2 linked regions of the Coturnix japonica genome follow. The protein of the gene in region 2 binds, or shares a complex with, the protein of the main gene of each other region. Links are inferred from orthologs where the notes say so. Each region holds a gene or a part of one and is shown on either strand. Other genes may lie near its edges. The genes, in order: MIEF2 and DNM1L.

Region 1 (2,413 bases), on a different chromosome or scaffold from region 2:
GAGGCTGGATGTCAAACACGATCAGGTTGAGCTGAGCATCGGCCTCTTCCCAGTGGTGGAAATGGAGGACAAAGTTCTTCTGGCCGCTCCTCCTGAAGGACTGGTGGAAAACCTCTGGCTCGAGAGCTTTGGCAGGGCGGAGGTCTTGAAGGTGAAGGAGCTGGATGCTGGTGATGCTGGTGCTCGGCAGCACTGCCTCCGTATCCTGAATGGGGTCTGCAGGATCCATCCTGCCCTGCACAAGCTGAGCGGCAGCCCCTTGGCACACGTCATCCTTCACCTGAGCACCACTGAGTCAGACTGGGCAGAGGAAAGCCTGGCCACCAGGTTCCAGCAAGTGCTCGAGGAGCTGGTGGGTTACCTGGAGAATGGGGTCCTGCCTTGCTACTTCAACCCCAAAGTCAACCTTTTCTGTGACCTGCTGGAAGAGGAAATAGAGGAGATGGGCTTCCTGCTCTATAGGGCTGTGTCTGAGCCAGGACTCCTGCTGACAGAGAAGTGACTGGTGCAGCGGGAGCTACTGAGCGTGGGGTGTTCCTCAGCTGTCTGGGCTGTGATGCTTCTAGTTGACTAGTCGGCAGGAGGCCAAGTTCTTGCACTTTATGAACAAAAGTATTTCCTTTCTGAATAAAACGTGCCTGAGAGTAATGGGTGATGGTGTAAGAAGCCATTTGCTGTGGGGCTCTGCCTTACCCACAGGGAATGCAGCCCTAAAGCAAAGTCCCATCTGCTGGGAACCAACATGGAACAAGTTTGGCTGCTGGATCTCAGCAAACTGCTCCTTCCCAGCCTGCCATCCCAACCTCTAGGCTCCCCCTGTGCTCCAAACAGAGACCTGAGCAGTTCAGAGCTTCCCCTGCCCCTTGTAGCACGCACGTCCCTTGATGCTGCTACAAACTTCATGGCTTATGATGTGCTGTGTGGGTCCTTCTGTGAGCACCGAGCTCAGTCATGCAGTGCCATGGGGTGAGGTGGGAACATTGTTCCATGCCAGGGAACAATGGATGCTGCAAGGTAATGCCATGGCAGGGTTACTCTTTGGAAATCATTTCAGGTACCAAATGACAGCCCGAGCTCAGCGCTGCCGGCTGCTCTGCCAGCATCAGCTCTGCCCCCAAGGAGGGTTCTCCATGGACATTCTCTGAGCTGCTGTGCTGCAGCATGGGCTGACAGCTACAGGAGCTGCAGCCTCCTGGTGGACACCAGTGCCCATCTAACAGGCCATGGTGTCCCCTCCCAGCCTGTCAAGTGACCTTTTCACGTATGTGTTGCTGCTGTTTTAATGTCCTGTTGCCCCGAAGCCTCATGGTGTGGGGCAGGAAAGGACTGGATTGATGCACAGAGCAGAGTACTTGCAAGAAGTCAAGAGGTGGTTTGTACTTCTTTTCATTAAGATCTATTTTGTTTGAGTATCTTTTTGTCGTTTTGGCTTTTTTTGCCTTTGAGTGGCTGCTGGTAGGTTTTGTTTCTGATTGTAATCCAAGTGTGAAGGAATACATTCTTGTATTTAATGGGAAGAGTGATGCTGTTTTTGCACACTGGTAGAGATGGTGAAATCCTGTGGGCTTTAGTGTGAGCATCTGTTGTGGTTTAGTTTTCTTTACAACCATCTTGTTTACGGGAGGATAAAAAAATCACTATGCCTTTCCTCTTAGTCTGAAGACGACTTGGTTTGTTCCTTCGAGCAACTTCCCAAGTGTTAGTGACAAGAATAAATCCTTGCTGTGTACACTGGTTCTCTCATCTCATATGTTTTGTCTCCTGTCCCGTAGTAAGGGCTGAAGCTGAGCTCCTGCTGTGGCAGCATTCCTGGAAGCAGTGCAGCTGTGGTACACCCTATGCAGAGCGTGGCAGCACTTGGACCCCATGGTGCACGGCTTTTCTCTTCCTCTTGCAGACCACCACATAAAGCACCCAGTGCTGCCTGGATGCTGAGCTCTTTGCTGTTTAGCCAGCAGCCCTAACTGCTCTGCTGCCTGAACGCTAACCGGGGTTAAACCAGTAGAGCTGGTAATGGCAAATGCCATCAGCAATGCTAAACCTGTGTGCTATGCAGACTGTTTCTGCTGCTGTTGCCATTTGGAGGCTGCCCAGCTCTAGCCATGCTTTAGCCAGCTGGCTGATTGCATTACGAAGCCGTCTAATCCTGTTATTTTAGACAGTAGGTTTGTATTTTTAGGTTACAGCTGTTAATAGTGGGAGAGAGGGGTACAGAGAAATGCAATGTAGGTTCTCCTGACTGTACTCCATAGGTCTGATAGCTACTTCTGTAGACTTGAAAGCTCTTCTTGCTTGTGCAGAGCTGAAAATGAACCTGTGCTGCTGTGGTCTCATCTGCTTTGAGCTACCCCCTAGGCAGTGCTTCAGCCTCCTGCCCACTCCAGTTGCTTCATGTATCACCTTAGTACTGAGC
Region 2 (4,309 bases):
TCAGGTCAGATTCAGTGCGGCAGTTCCTGTTTTCTTATGTTAATTAACCTTTAGTAAAAACCAGTCTGTCTCTTATCAGATCTTTGAGTTTCTTGCCCTGTACAACATAAGCCTATTAAGGAAATTAGATAATTAAAGCTCAGGATGGTCACTGCTTGCCAAAATGATGATTGCTTTGGTGCAGTTGCTCTGGATTGAGGTAAATGCTGGCTTTGGTAAGTTGGTAATAGACACAACATTTTATAGCAAAGGTATTTCCAGAACCCACTTTTTAGCCAGAAATAGACAATGTGGTAAGATTTTCTTCCTTGGGTTTCCTAATCTTATTTAGTCTTATTTAGTCCGCTCTTCTTGTTTCTCTTCTGTTCATTAATTCATTTCATCCATTTAAGTTGTGTTTCTCCATGTGGGTATAGTGTCCTTGATGGTATTTTTTGACAGTTCTGCTGGGAAAGCTGAGTTATCTCTACACATTTTGGCAAATGATATTTTCACTGTGTTCTTAATGAAATATATTACACTGATTAAATTCTAAGAATAGCCATATTGGGATGGACTAAAGGTCAAGCACTGAGCGCTTGTGCACGACAGTCACCCTGTTTCCAACCACTAGTAGCTTAGAAACATCCAGATCTAGGTTTAATTTCCACATCCTTATGTATTTATATGCAATACACTGTGTTGTATGAGTTGAGTTGGGTTGTTCAGGCCTAGAAAGGTTGCGGGGTGACCTCATTGCAGCCTTTCAATACCTAAGGGAACTTACTCCCAGGAGGGGAGTAAACTCTTCGAAAGGGCTGACTAATAGCAAGGAACACAGGGAAATGGTTTTAAAGTTAAAAAGAGGGAAGATTAGGATTGATGTTAGGACGGGAAGTCTCTTCACTAGGAAGAGTCGGTTTAAGGCCTGGAAACAAGGTGCCCAGGGAGGTTTGTGGAATGCCCCGTCCTTGGAAGGTGTTCAAGACCAGGGGTTGGACGGGCCCTGCAAACCTGAATCTAGTAAAATGTGTCATGTTTGGTGGCGCCCTAGCCAGGCCAGGGGGGAATTGGGAACCTACATGAATCCTTGAAAGTCCCTTCCAACCCGGGTCATTCTGTGATTCTGTGTTAATGATCCTAATAGCTCTGAGAGCAATTGGTTTCAGCACACCTAAGCGAATGGACGATCTCCACAGGCCTTGGGCCCAGTGCGGCCGGCCCCATTCCTCACTACATGTCCCGTGGATCCCCGCGGCGCTCAGCCCGCACTGCCCGCTGGGGGCCGCGCCGTGCGCGGGGGCCGGCTCCAATGGCGGCAGGCGGAGGGGGCGGCTGACGGGAGCCGCTGCCCGTCGCGCCCATTCATCGCCGACGTCTTCCCCGGCTTTCTCTGTTCCCTCAGCCCCTCCGGGCTGTGTCCGCCTCCGCCGCCATGGAGGCTCTGATCCCGGTGATCAACAAGCTGCAAGATGTCTTCAACACGGTGGGGGCCGACATCATCCAGCTGCCGCAGATCGTGGTGGTGGGCACGCAGGTGAGGCGGGGCGGGACGAGGCGGCGGGTACGACCGGGCCGCACCGCCCCGGGTTAATGTCGGCTCGTCCCCTGCTCCTCTGGGGCCGCTGAGCCGCGGTCTCCGTTTCCAAGGGCACGGGGGGACGAGGGCGGCCGGGACGCCCTTAGCTGTGCCCGCGGCCCCCCCCGTTGGCGCTGGGAGTGCCCGTGCCACCGCCCTCCTTCCCCCGCCGGTTCTAACGGCCGCGGCGCTCCCCGGGGCAACCCCCCGGCCTACGGGCCGCTGAGCTGAAGGGATGGAGAGCAGAGGGACGGCACCTGCGGGTGTCGGCTGTGCTGAGGGGTCGCTGAGCTGTTGTGCCGCCTTTAGGACCTCTTTGTTGGCAGCCAAAGCGGCCTGTCTTGGCGTTACAGTGTGTCCCAGCCTGGTAACGCTGAGGGGCTGAACGAGCAGCTCCAGACCCTTCTGATGTATCCAAACGGGGCTCCAGACCCTTCTGATATATCCAAACGGGACTTCAGATCCTTCTGGTGTATCCAAACGGGACTCCAAACCCTTCTGGAGGACCCAGCGTCCAAACGGGACGCTGTTCCTCAGCATAACTTCCAGTCCAGAACGGTGGCGGTCATAGGAGAAGTGAAAATGAAACATTAAACACAACCAAAACTTGGCTTTAGTACATCACCTTCTTTCTTTTTATTTATTGAATATATGCCGTTACTTGACAATAGTAGGCTGACATCAAGAGAATTGTGCTAGATGCTCTGCAGCTGGGTATCGTTACATGGCTTTGAAGGCACCGACTGCAAGCTTATAGCTGAAGCATGGCATGGCTTTCCTCAAAGCCAGTTGTGGTGTGGTTGTAGGGTAGGCAGCTCTTCCTTTGCTTAACCACCATCAGTCAGCTGGTTCAGAGACTCTGTGTCAGCTGCCTTATAAAAGAGATCCACAACACCGGCGCTGAGGAGGAGACTTTGTACTGGTCAGTTATATCAGGTCCTTGGTTTCTGCTGATCGCAGGAGCCCTTTGCTGTGTAGAAACTTCCAATCTCATTATATTAACAATATAAACTGATTTTGTTGTTGTCAATGCTGTTTTTTTATTTCTCTATCAGAAGGGTGTAAAGCAGAGGTGTGATGTTTTTATACTTGAAATTCATGGAAATATGCCTTTCAGCTTCATTCCAATGTGCTGAAGTCTTTTGTAACGACCTTATCTTAGTTAACTTAGTTAACTTAAAAGTACATGGAGTACATAGGACTATTTTCGCATACAGAGGCTACTTTGGAAGTCATGCCTCCTAGTTTATTGTATTGGCCTACAGTGTCAGAGGTGGATGTAGGTGCTTTGGCAGTAGAGGTTGAACCTTCCCGTCAATATTCTGTTCATTACATTATGTTGCGGTGTAACAGATGGCAGCAGAGGGGCAGGCTGACTAAGTGGTGTCTGATATGGAAGCGCATATGAAACAAATGTGGGGAACTGAATTCCTCCGCAGAAAAAATGGCACTCGTTGTCATTCTTTGATGCTTGTTGAACCTTTATGGAGCCCAAACATTGGATGTGAGTGCAGTGAGGCAGTGGGTGGTGCATTTCAGCTGCGGTGACAGCGATGTGAAGGGCAAGCCATGTTCCACACATCCATGCACAGCTGTCACATCATGAAATGAAGACCGTCTCAGTCCGCTCATCCACACAGATCAGCAGATTACAAGCAGAGAATTGTGTGCAGACCTAAATATCAATTTCATTGCATTGGAAATGATGGTGGCAATGTTGGAATATCACAAATTTAGTGCTGGGTGGGTCCCATGAGTTCTCACACAGGATCAGAACGAACATCATATGCAGGTTTATCAGGTCCTGCTGAACCAATATGAGATGACTGTTTCCTGTATTGAATCATTATCAGTGACAGGACACGGTGTCAACACTAGGAACCGAAGTTCCAATGGCTGTCCATGGAGTGGTGATACAAACTTCTTCAATGGGAATTTAACAGGGCGCAGCCCTCAGTGGTTAAAGTGATGCACGTTGTCTTTTGGGATGGGAAAAGGGTAATCCTGGATTTCCTGAGACCTGGACAAACCATGAATTCTGACTCATAACAACACTGACTAAGCTGAAGCTTCAAACTTCCGTAGTCAGGCCAGGAAAGAAGACAGTGGAAATGAGTAGTCTGCCCTTCTGTATTAATACCCCTTTGGTGTTAAGACCTGTGAGTAAGGTATAGTGGTACTGTATCTTTTAGGAGACCAGCTTGAATGCCTTTATTTACCTCAGGAAAATATGTAGCAAATTGGATGGGAAACTGTAGCCAAATTTTGTTCTTTTGTTTAAGTCTCAGCTCCTGAAAAATATAATTGTCTTCATGGACGCAGTGACTCTGTAGTTATTTTCTGCAGTTATTTCATACTTAAGATTGTATTCGTTTAGTCCTTTCAATGTAGTTTATGGCAGCCCAGGTTTCTGGAGATGTCTCACATATGTCCTTAGGGCTGACGGTTTTGCTGCTGAGAATTGGCTTCCATGTGTTTTTGAAACCTGCCTTTTAACAGCGTTGTCCCTTAAGATATTTTTGGTTAAGTGCTGTGTGACTCCAAGCTTTCCCCCATAGTTGACTGTAAAAGTCATCTCTGTACCCTGGTATGGAATCTGCTAAGAAAACTGCCGATGATAGGACTTGCAGGGCACCCTTACACGGCCAACTATGTATTGCTATTTTAGGGTTTCGCTGTCCTTCCCAGTAGGTGTGCTGTTTTTCCTGATTCAGTGTTTCAGTTGCCACCTTACAGCTGTGTTGCTGAAAT

What was found.
Region 1: the proteins of DNM1L (region 2) and MIEF2 are in contact, whole or in part, in a cryo-EM structure (PDB 5WP9), measured with the Homo sapiens proteins. The link is inferred for Coturnix japonica from reciprocal best matches to the Homo sapiens genes DNM1L and MIEF2. Residues at the interface, in NP_036192.2 of Homo sapiens: Asp190, Met191, Ala192, Thr193, Ser194, Leu197, Lys198, Ile199, Arg201, Glu202, Gly223, Thr224, Asp225, Asp228, Arg233, Val234; in NP_631901.2 of Homo sapiens: Val213, Asp214, Thr215, Val216, Arg218, Arg226, Leu230, Arg235, Val245, Gly246, Tyr248.

What each region holds. Positions count from the first base shown.
Region 1 is NC_029529.1:5,103,092-5,105,504, forward strand, and holds the end of MIEF2 (mitochondrial dynamics protein MID49), read left to right. Parts: coding exon 1-502; 3' UTR 503-1,736; downstream 1,737-2,413. UniProt on the Homo sapiens protein: Mitochondrial outer membrane protein involved in the regulation of mitochondrial organization.
Region 2 is NC_029516.1:53,516,788-53,521,096, forward strand, and holds the start of DNM1L (dynamin-1-like protein), read left to right. Parts: upstream 1-1,254; 5' UTR 1,255-1,414; coding exon 1,415-1,516; intron 1,517-4,309. UniProt on the Homo sapiens protein: Functions in mitochondrial and peroxisomal division.